Stegostoma tigrinum: one gene and its partners. The main gene of each other region encodes a partner of the protein of the gene in region 3 in a complex. Links are inferred from orthologs where the notes say so. Each region holds a gene or a part of one and is shown on either strand. Other genes may lie near its edges. The genes, in order: eif3d, eukaryotic translation initiation factor 3 subunit E and eif3i.

The links.
Region 1: eif3i (region 3) and eif3d share a complex: the UniProt entries of both Homo sapiens proteins name them as parts of the eukaryotic translation initiation factor 3 (eIF-3) complex. The link is inferred for Stegostoma tigrinum from reciprocal best matches to the Homo sapiens genes EIF3I and EIF3D.
Region 2: eif3i (region 3) and eukaryotic translation initiation factor 3 subunit E share a complex: the UniProt entries of both Homo sapiens proteins name them as parts of the eukaryotic translation initiation factor 3 (eIF-3) complex. The link is inferred for Stegostoma tigrinum from reciprocal best matches to the Homo sapiens genes EIF3I and EIF3E.

The regions. Positions count from the first base shown.
Region 1 is NC_081391.1:24,613,275-24,617,019, forward strand, and holds the start of eif3d (eukaryotic translation initiation factor 3 subunit D), read right to left. Parts: upstream 2,688-3,745; 5' UTR 2,124-2,687; intron 1-2,123. UniProt on the Homo sapiens protein: mRNA cap-binding component of the eukaryotic translation initiation factor 3 (eIF-3) complex, a complex required for several steps in the initiation of protein synthesis of a specialized repertoire of mRNAs.
Region 2 is NC_081358.1:265,906-269,650, forward strand, and holds the start of eukaryotic translation initiation factor 3 subunit E, read left to right. Parts: upstream 1-1,142; 5' UTR 1,143-1,185; coding exon 1,186-1,275; intron 1,276-3,745. UniProt on the Homo sapiens protein: Component of the eukaryotic translation initiation factor 3 (eIF-3) complex, which is required for several steps in the initiation of protein synthesis.
Region 3 is NC_081377.1:45,627,065-45,630,809, reverse strand, and holds the start of eif3i (eukaryotic translation initiation factor 3 subunit I), read right to left. Parts: upstream 2,707-3,745; 5' UTR 2,697-2,706; coding exon of another isoform or gene 2,684-2,696; 5' UTR 2,589-2,683; coding exon 2,586-2,588; intron 730-2,585; coding exon 637-729; intron 1-636. Other genes in the region: tmem234 (transmembrane protein 234), read left to right, coding at 2,684-2,696. UniProt on the Homo sapiens protein: Component of the eukaryotic translation initiation factor 3 (eIF-3) complex, which is required for several steps in the initiation of protein synthesis.

The DNA of each region.
Region 1 (3,745 bases), on a different chromosome or scaffold from region 3:
GTCCAAATCTCCAGCACCCTCTCGGTCAAAACATTTTTTCTTAAATCGCCTCTAAACATCTGGCTCCTTCCTCCAAAACTGTGACATTTTGATTACTCACGCTATCAACGCCCTTTATAATCTTGTATATCTGTCAGATTTCACTCCCCACTCCCTCAGCCTTCTGTGCTCTCACGAAAACAGCCCAAACCTATCCAGTTTCTCTGCTTCACTGAATCCCTCCAGCCCAGGCAACATCCTGGTGAATCTCCTCTGCACCCCATCCAGGGCAATCACATCCTTCCAGCTATATGGGGACCAGACCGACACACAGTGCTCCAGCTGCGGCCTAACTCATATCTTACACAGCTCTCTCACACAATCGTATCCTTCCTCTACACTGGTGATCATAATTGCACGCAGTCCTCCAGCTGCGGCCTAACTCATATCTTACACAGCTCCATCATAACTACCAATGTCTTGACTAACAAAAGCAAAAATCCCAATATTTAACCACCTCAAACACGTGTTGCCTTCAAGGTTCTGTGGACACACACACCAGGGCACTTCTGACCCTCTGCACCTGCTAGGGTCTCACCATTTTTTGTATCATCCCTGGCCTTGTTAGTCTTCCCAAAAGGTATCACCTCACACTTTTCAGGATTAAATTCCACTCGCCCATAATTCAGCCCATATGACCAGCCTGTCAATACAATTCTGTACTGTAATGTTTACCTCTTCGCTATTTACTATGCCACCAATTTTTGTGTCATTTGCAAACCTACCAATTAAACCTCCTACATTCACGTCTAGATCATTAATACGCTGTAAAAACAGTAAAGGATCCAGCACCAAGCCTTGCATTCACCACTGGATACAAGCTCCTAGTCACAAAAATAACTCGTCAACTATTATACCCCGCCTTCTGCTGCTGCTAAGTCAATTCTGGATCCAAATTGTCAAACTGCCCTGGATCCCATGGGCTCTTGCTTTATTGACCAGTCTACCATGTGAAGCCCTGGCAAAACCATTACCAAAATCTATGCAGACTACATCCACTGCACAACCCTCATACACACATCCAGTCACCTCCACAAATCACTGAATCAAATCTATCAGGCATGATCTCCCCCTAAATAATGTCATGTTTCATTAATCTTTGACTCTCCAAGTAGAGATTAATTATGTCCCTCAGAATTTCTTTTCAAGAGTTTCCCTACCACTTGTGTCAGAGTCAAGGTGGCCTATTGATGTCCAATTTACCCAGACCACCTTTCTTGAATAACGGGGGTGGGGGGGGGCCTGTGCCCGGATCCCCGGGGGGGGGGGCTGTGCCCGGATCCCCGGGGGGGGGGGGCTGTGCCCGGATCCCCGGGGGGGGGGGCTGTGCCCGGATCCCCGGGGGGGGGGGGGGGGGCTGTGCCCGGATCCCCGGGGGGGGGGGGGGGGGGGCTGTGCCCGGATCCCCGGGGGGGGGGGGGGGGGCTGTGCCCGGATCCCCGGGGGGGGGGGGGGGGGGCTGTGCCCGGATCCCCGGGGGGGGGGGGCTGTGCCCGGATCCCCGGGGGGGGGGGGGGGGGCTGTGCCCGGATCCCCGGGGGGGGGGGGGGGCTGTGCCCGGATCCCCGGGGGGGGGGGGGCTGTGCCCGGATCCCCGGGGGGGGGGGGCTATGCCCGGATCCCCGGGGGGGGGGGCTGTGCCCGGATCCCCGGGGGGGGGGGCTGTGCCCGGATCCCCGGGGGGGGGGGCTGTGCCCGGATCCCCGGGGGGGGGGGCTGTGCCCGGATCCCCGGGGGGGGGGCTGTGCCCGGATCCCCGGGGGGGGGGGCTGTGCCCGGATCCCCGGGGGGGGGGGGGCTGTGCCCGGATCCCCGGGGGGGGGGGGGGGCTGTGCCCGGATCCTGTGCTCCTGTCCCTCTCCGGGCACCAACCTGCGCCGACACCGCTCAGGCGGCTACATCAATGCAACTGGCCAGTGCCCGGCGGAACGACAACTCAATGCCCGCCTCAGGCGCTAGACAAACGCAGGGCGAGGGCCAGGCCCGAGGCCTCAGGCCCGATCCCCGGTATTGGTTCGGGGCCCGACGCCCGCGGACAATCCCCCCCCCGGCGCCCCCCGCGGGCCCGAGCCGCCGCCTCTTACCTGGTTCCCGCCGCCGCCGCCGGATCCGCGAAGCTTCACAGACACCAACAACCGGCCGCCGCGCTGTCGTAAAGCGCCGTAAACCGGGGCCGTTACCCGGCAGCGAAACGCCGTAAAACGTCCAAACCCGCGGGGGCGCCACACGGCCGCAAACTGCCGTAAAGCAGGAACACAGCAACGGAATTTGCTGGAAAAGCTCAGCAGCGTCTGTGAAGGGAAAGAAAAACCCGAGTTAAAACGTTTTCGGGTCCGGCGGCCCTTCCTCAGTGTCTACAAACTGCCGTAGTCCGGCACGGGAAGGAGGTCGTAAGGTGCCGTAAAACGGAGCCGCCACGTTGCGGCAGATGGGTGCGACAGCGCTGCCGTAAAGTCGGTCGCAAGACAGTGCCCCGTAACTGTCACGTTTTCCGCTCAGACTCGGGGAACATTCTCCAGCGGATCCTGGGGGGCGATGATTCGTTTAAAAGAGGCGGCGACTTTCTGCCACACCACCGTAAAGGAGGTTCGGGTCCACACCACGACAATGTCGTGAATGTGCTGTCGGATTAAATCGTTTTAAATAGCAGACCTGAAGACGGCCCCAAGGCCGGAGCCGTGTTTCTCTCGGCGCTTTGGTTTAGATAAATCCCAACGGGCACCAGCTTTGATGGAAATCGGGAATTGGGCGCCGCGGGTTGAAATCCGCTTTACGGCAGTGTTCCGCGGGCCGCTTCCACACGGAGCTGGCGAGCGGCGCCAAGATGGTCCGCACCGTGACTGAACGCCGCTCCCCCCACCCACCCCACACAGCGCCACCCAGGTGGGCGGGAGAGGAATGGCGGCACAGCCACTGCCCCAGGGACAGTACTAGAACCAGTGGAGAGAATGTGAGCGTGTGTGGGGACCGCTTTGCAGAACACCTCCGCTCAGTTCGCAACAAACTACTGCACCTCCCAGTCGCAAACCATTTCCACTCCCCCTCCCATTCTCTTGATGACATGTCCATCATGGGCCTCCTGCAGTGCCACAATGATGCCACCCGAAGGTTGCAGGAACAGCAACTCATATTCCGCCTGGGAACCCTGCAGCCCAATGGTATCAATGTGGACTTCACCAGTTTCAAAATCTCCCCTTCCCCTACTGCATCCCTAAACCAGCCCAGTTCATCCCCTCCCCCCACTGCACCACACAACCAGCCCAGCGCTTCCCCCCCACCCACTGCATCCCAAAACCAGTCCAACCTGTCTCTGCCTCCCTAACCGGTTCTTCCTCTCACCCATCCCTTCCTCCCACCCCAAGCCGCACCTCCATCTACCTACTAACCTCATCCCACCTCCTTGACCTGTCCGTCTTCCCTGGACTGACCTATCCACTCTCTACCTCCCCACCTATACTCTCCTCTCCACCTATCTTCTTTTCTCTCCATCTTCGGTCCGCCTCCCCCTCTCTCCCTATTTATTCCAGTTCCCTCTCCCCATCCCCCTCTCTGATGAAGGGTCTAGGCCCGAAACGTCAGCTTTTGTGCTCCTGAGTTGCTGCTGGACCTGCTGTGTTCATCCAGCCTCACATTTCATTATCTGAGAGAATGTGAACCACTGCCAGAGAGGACAAGGATAGAAACAGGGAGACGAGTGAGCTCAGAG
Region 2 (3,745 bases), on a different chromosome or scaffold from region 3:
GCAGGGAAAAGTACCAGGTGTGGTGGGGTTGGAGGAGAGTTTGGAGCAGACAAGGGAGTCACAGAGAGAGTGGTCCCTCCGGAAAGCAGATAAGGGTGGGGAGGAAAAAATGTCTTTGGTGATGGGGTCGGATTGCAGATGGCAGAAGTGTTGGAGGATGGTGTGTTCGATTCAGAGGTTGATGGGGTGGTATGTCAGGAGGAGGGGGATCTGGTTTTGTTGTTATTGCGGTGAGGTCGTGTGAGGGATGAGTTGTGGGAAACGCGGGAGACAGGGTTGAGGGCGTTTTCATCCACTGAGGGGGGGATGTTGCGGTCCTTGTAGAACGAGGACATTTGGGATGTACGGGAGTGGAATGCCTCATCCTGGGAGCAGGTGCGGCGGAGGCGAAGGAATTAGGAATGGGGATGGCATTTTTGCAGGAAGGTGGGTGGGAGGAGGTGTATTCTAGGTAGCTGTGGGAGTTGGTGGGCTTGAATTGGATATTGCTTTCCAGGTGGTTGCCAGAGATGGAAACAGAGAGGTCCAGGAAGGAGAGAGAGGTATCAGAGATTGTCCAGGTGAACTTAAGGTTGGTGTGGAAGGTGTTGGTGAAGTGGATGAACTGTTCGAGCTCCTCATGGGAACACGAGGTGGCGCTGATACAGTCATTGATGTAACGGAGGAAGAGGTGGGGTTTAGGGCCAGCAAAGCGATGGAAGAGGGATTCTTCAACTTTTTCTTGTGGATGGTTTGGGAGATGATGGTTTGGTGCTCGGGGGTGGGGTCATGATCGAGGGGACAGTAGGAGGTTGCGTCAGAGAGTTGGCATCTGGCTTCAGCAATGTAGAGGTCCGTGCGCCACACGACAACTGCAGCTCCTTTGTCCGCGGGTTTTATGGTTGGGTTGGGGTTGGAGCAGAGGACTGCCCATTCTGCGGGGCAGCGGTTGGAGTGGGTGAGAGGTTGAGGCGGTTGATGTCTCGACGGCAGTTAGAGATGAAGAGGTCGAGGGAGGTTAGGAGGCCTGGGGGTAGTGTCCTGGAAGAGCGGGGTAAAAGTTTTTCCTCTCGAGCAGTATTAGATTGACAGGGGAAGGGCGGGGTTTTACTAATGGGCGGGGCCTGGCGCTCGATGGGCGGGGCCGTGCCTGGCACAAGTCGCTGTCAATAAAGTTGCTTCCGTTTGAATTTTCCTTTTGCCAAAATGGCGGATTACGATCTAACGATGCGAATCGCTAATTTCCTGGACCGGCACCTGGTCTTCCCGCTGCTTGAGTTCCTGTCAGTTAAAGAGGTAAAGTCTCCGATCACCTCCCCCCGCGAGTCCGGTAACGGTACCAGAGCGGAGCTCGAGGCTTCTCAGGACCCTGCACGTGAAACAGGCCCAGGGCCAGGCCTAGCCCTGAGTGAGGAGCCCGCCCCCGGCACTACGCTATGTTGAGGGTGCGGAGTCCTGATGCCCACACCGGAGATAACAAAGTGTGGAGCTGGATGAACACAGCAGGCCAAGCAGCATCTCAGGAGCACAAAAGCTGACGTTTCGGGCCTAGACCCTTCAGAAGGGGTCAGCTTTTGTGCTCCTGAGATGCTGCTTGGCCTGCTGTGTTCATCCAGCTTCACACTTTGTTGTCCCGGATTCTCCAGTATCTGCAGTTCCCAGTATCTCTCTCCCACACCGGAGCATCTGGCTTTACCGATCGCCTTTCGCGCTTTTCTGCGTTCCCTCGTCACGAGATGCCCGTGGTCAGATGACCAAAAATTTGTTCAAGTGAATGCAGTAATGCATGCGAATAAGTTATAGGCGGGAGAGGGAATTTCTGACCTTAGCTGAAGGTCTAACCATCGCTTGGCTTTCGCAGTTTCCCAAGATCAGCAAGCGACTTGCTTCCGTTCCAGTTTGATGTGTTCTGACATGGCTGATAAACGCAATGCACGACCTGCCGGGACAATGCCACACGCTGAGCAGGTCAAGTTTCGAGATTTCTGTGCATCTACTCTGATGCCTCAACTTTGCTTCTCCAAGTTTTCGACGATATCTTTTGAGTGAAACTTCTTTTTTTGATTCATCACAAGCTGGGCACTCCCTTGACTTAGTGGGGATTTTTGGTTTTTTTTCAAGGATGCTCTGAGGATATCTTTAAAACATTTCCCTGTCCTCCTTGGAGTGTTGTAAGACTGTGTTTTTGAGTGAAATGGCTTTGTGAGTCTGGTGAGTGATATGACCTGCCCAGCAGAGAGCTGGCTTTTGACTGATTCGTGCCTTGATGCTGGATCAGGAATGAATCCTGCTGTTGGGCCAGTTTTCTTACTACTGGCTTTGTAGGGTTTTGCAAAGGCGTCACAGATGGATAGTATGTCTCCTGTACTTTGAGGTGCCTGCTTTATTTTGTCCTATCTCTGATATAAGTCAGAGTGTGGAGGTCATCACCCAGGAAATCACCAAGGTTTCGCCATCAATGGTGGAATAATGATGATTGGGGATATCAGAGGCCCAAATTAGAGAAGAGAAGAGATCTTGGACGGTCGTGGAGTTGAAGACAATTATAGCGATAAGGAGAGTAAGATCCTGTGGAGACATCCTATAAACAAGGATAAAAATTTTAACGTTGAGTTGTTGCTTGATTAGGAAGCAGAAGGTGAGCAAGTACTGGAATGATAGACCAAATTCAGATTAGACCATGGGCATCAGAGTTTTGGATGACTTTAAATTATATTGATGTTGGAAAGTGGAGAGTGACTGGGAGTGTTTTGGAGTAGTCAAGTCTGGATGAAAAGAAGACATGGATGAAGCTTGAGCATGATTTAGCAGCATGTGAGCTGAGGGAGTTATGTTACAGAAGTAGAAATAGGAGGTTTGTAGTGATGGTTTAAACATGAGGCTGGAAACTTGAATGCAGGTCAAAAATTGCAAGCAGACTGGTCTAATTTCAGATTTTTGACAAGAAGAGTGACTGTAGACTGAAAATTGGCTTCACTTTGTCTGGTATATAATTATGTATTGTGAGACATTTAACGCAGTTTTGAATGTATGCTGGGATCCTTGGTTGTAGTATTTTCAATATTTATTTTTTTTATTTTCAATATTTATTTTTAATTTCAAACAGTAGCCTCTGTCCTAACTGATTGAAGAGTCAACAAGGCACTGCCAGTTTTAGGGTTGTACTTCTCTGCTTACAAATTCTGCGCCTCATACATTCTCTCTCACCCTACGCCTGGAGGAGGAACTGAGCTCCGAAAGTTACATTTTCAAATAAACCTGTTCAACAATAACCTGGTGTCGTGTGATTTTTGACATTATTTTTAATTTGAAAAGTATCCCCAAAAGTCTTTGGATGTTGTGGATTGGTTGACATTTTTATGATGGCAAATCATAGAGTTGTGTAAGTACTACCAGCAAAAGCACATGGAGTAAATGTGGCTATATGAGTTTGAGTTCCACATCAGAGACAGGTAACAAAATGTTGGAGGTGGGGTTGAGGAATAGAAGGATCTAATCCTGTTCTCAAAGTTCCATAGCAGTAACTATAAAATAGGTCACAGCTACAGGAAAAAAAATCATAAATCCTCAAAAGTGATGGGGCAAATTGATGAGGTATAAGAATACCTTAAGTGGTTTATTTGGCTTTTAAAATAGGAACAGTGAATGCAAAACTAAAGAAAAAAGCAATAACAACAAAAACACTTAAAGCACTGGTTCGACCTTGGTCAAGTTATTGTGTAGAATTCGGAGTGCTGCATGTTGACAAAAGTGTCAAGACTCTTGG
Region 3 (3,745 bases):
GGAACTTACTTTGCTTCACACTGGTAGAAAATGACGCTATTTTTATTTTTCAACAGCATCCCACCAAGACACACCCCACCATATCCCTGTAACCTTGCATTTCCCATGGCTAACCCACCAAGCCTGCACATCCCTGGGCACTAAGGACAATTTAGCATGGCTAATCCACCTAACCTGCACATCTTTGGACTGTGGGATGAAACCGGAGCACCCGGAGGAAACCCACGCAGACACGAGGAGAATGTGCAAACTCCACACAGACAGTCGCCCGAGGGTGGAACTGAACCCAGATGCCTGGCCCTGTGAGGTATCAGTGTTAATTGCTGAGCCAACACGCTCTCAGAAGTTAGCAAATTTGTGAAATTCTTTACTGTAGGGGCCATCAAGGCTGGGATAAACAGATTTTAGTCAGCAAGGGAATCAAAGATTGTGGAGGCAAAAGGCAGAAAAGTGGAGTTGAGAATGATCACATCAGCCAGAAAAGGCAGAGGAGACTTCACAGACCGAGTGACCTACTTCTGCTCCCAAGTCTTTCTGTTGTAATTACACACATGCACAATGTGAATATTGCAGCCAAGATAGCAAACTAATGGAATAAGTTATCACAACATTCCATCATTTGTAAGTTATACTTACAGTATCTTTTGCACAAGAGAACAGCAAATCACCTTCTCTATTGTACTTAATTTGGGTGATTGATCTTTCATGACCTTGTAACAGGATGGGCTTCTGCAAAAAAAAATTAAAACATGATGTATTACAGCAATGAAACAAGCTCCATTAATTCCAGTTCTGAGCAACGGTCACCGGACCTGAAACGTTAACTCTCCACAGATACTGCCAGACCTGTTGAGCTTTTCCAGCAACTTTGTTTTTGTTCCTGATTTACAGCAACTGCAGCAGCTCTTTTGGTTTTTATTAAGCTCCATTAATTACTCAATTTCAACATATTGATAAAATACTAAAAGTCTGTAAATCTCAAGGTTTAAGGGCCACAACTCAGTTTTGTACCATAGAAATATATTTCTCTTGCTCCCTGCAACAGTCATCCTGATCTAAATAGTATTAGCATTCTTACTTTTCAATACATACAATTACCTCTCTATATTATGTCCATCATTACTCTTTAATAAGCAATGCAATAACCAACAAGCTGTCCTGGTCTTCCCACACAGTTGCGACAGTCAAGAAAGCAAAACAATGCCTCGAGTTCTTCACGAGACTTAGGAAATTTGGCATGTCAATAAGGACCCTCACCAACTTTTGCAGATGCACATTAAAAAGGAATTCCATCTGGGTGCATCATGGCTTGGTACAGCAACTGCTCTGCCCAGGACCATAAGAAACGACAGAAAGTTGTGTGCACAGTCCAGACCATTACACAGGCCAACCTCCCATCCATGGACTCCATCTACGCATGCTGGAGAAAGGCAGCCAACATCAAAGATCCCGATCCTCCACCCACCCTTGCAATTCTCTTTTCCAAACTCGTCTGTGTCAGGCAGAAAATACAGAAGCTTGTAAACAAGCCCCAACAGGTTCTAGAACAGTTTCTTCCCCTCTGTTATCAGGCTACTGAATGGTCCTCTCTAACTTCAAACCTTATGTTAATGTTGCTTTTATGCACCTTCTCTGCAGCCATAACCTTGTATGTCTCGCTCAAACTCAACACCTTATGATCTGTGTGTTTGCTATGATCTGCCTGTATTGCTTAAAGAAAACTTCTCACTGTACATAGGTACGGGACTACAACAAATCAAATTAACGATACTCACTGTAACCTCTAAATCTCCAGAGTACCACACTACTACTCTCCAACACTCGCCGTGCCCCCTCAGTCCCTCTAATACCCACACTACTACTCTCCAACACTCGCCGTGCCCCCTCAGTCCCTCTAATGCCCGCATTATTACTCTCCAACACTCGCCGTGCCCCCTCAGTCCCTCTAATACCCACACTACTACTCTCCAACACTCGCCGTGCCCCCTCAGTCCCTCTAATGCCCGCATTATTACTCTCCAACACTCGCCGTGCCCCCTCAGTCCCTCTAATACCCACACTACTACTCTCCAACACTCGCCGTGCCCCCTCAGTCCCTCTAATGCCCGCATTATTACTCTCTAACACTCGCCGTGCCCCCTCAGTCCCTCTATTACCCCCCACTATTGCTCTCTAACACTCGCCGTGCCCCCTCAGTCCCTCTATTACCCCCCACTATTGCTCTCTAACACTCACCGTGCCCCCTCAGTCCCTCTATTACCCCCCACTATTGCTCTTTAACACTCGCCGTGCCCCCTCAGTCCCTCTAATACCCACATTATTACTCTCCAACACTCACCGTGCTCCCTCAGTCCCTCTATTACCCCCCGCTATTGCTCTCTAACACTCGCCGTGCCCCCTCAGTCCCTCTATTACCCCCCATTATTACTCTTTAACACTCGCCGTGCCCCCTCAGTCCCTCTATTGCTCTCTAACACTCGCCGTGCCCCCTCAGTCCCTCTATTACCCCCCCATTATTACTCTTTAACACTCGCCGTGCCCCCTCAGTCCCTCTAATACCCACATTATTACTCTCCAACACTCACCATGCTGACAGCGGAGCCTGTAGAGAACCCGGAAATGATGTGTCTGGCGCCGCCGGAAATGACCCTGGGCGGGGTCAGGGATCAAGTAACCCGCTGCTATGGCGACCGTCGGTGAGTGATCTTCAAAACACCCGCCTCCCGCCAGACCCCGGGACACGCCTCCCCTCCCCCGCGGTCACTCTCTCCCCCCCCCCCCCCTCCTCCCCCGCGGTCACTCTCTCCCCCCCCCCCCCCCTCCTTCCCCGCGGTCACTCTCTCTCTCTCCCCCCCCCCTCCCCCGCGGTCACTCTCTCTCTCTCTCTCTCCCCCCCCCTCCCCCGCGGTCACTCTCTCCCTCCCCCGCGGTCACTCTCTCTCTCCGCCCCTCCCCCGCGGTCACTCACTCTCTCCCCCCCTCCCCCGCGGTCACTCTCTCTCCCCCCCTCCCCCGCGGTCACTCTCTCTCCCCCCTCCTCCCCCGCGGTCACTCTCTCCCTCCCCTCCTCCCCCGCGGTCACTCTCTCTCTCCCCTCCTTCCCCGCGGTCACTCTCTCTCTCCCCTCCTTCCCCGCGGTCACTCTCTCCCTCCCCTCCTTCCCCGCGGTCACTCTCTTCCCCCCCCTCCTCCCCAGCGGTCACTCTCTCCCTCCCCTCCTTCCCCGCGGTCACTCTCTCTCCCCCCTCCTTCCCCGCGGTCACTCTCTCTCCCCCCTCCTTCCCCGCGGTCACTCTCTCTCTCCCCCCTCCTTCCCCGCGGTCACTCTCTCCCCCCCCTCCTTCCCCGCGGTCACTCTCTCCCCCCCCCTCCTTCCCCGCGGTCACTCTCTTCCCCCCCTCCTTCCCCGCGGTCACTCTCTCTCTCTCTCCCCTCCTTCCCCGCGGTCACTCTCTCTCCCCCCCCCCTCCTTCCCCGCGGTCACTCTCTCTCCCCCCTCCTTCCCCGCGGTCACTCTCTCTCCCCCCTCCTTCCCCGCGGTCACTCTCTCTCTCCCCTCCTCCCCCGCGGTCACTCTCTCTCTCTCCCCTCCTTCCCCGTGGTCACTCTCTCTCTCCCCTCCTTCCCCGCGGTCACTCTCTCTCCCCCCCCCTCCCTCCCCGAGGTCACTCGCTCCCCCGCCTCCTTCCCCGCAGTCACTCTCTCTCCCCCCTCCTTCCCTGCGGTCACCCATACTCACTCCCTC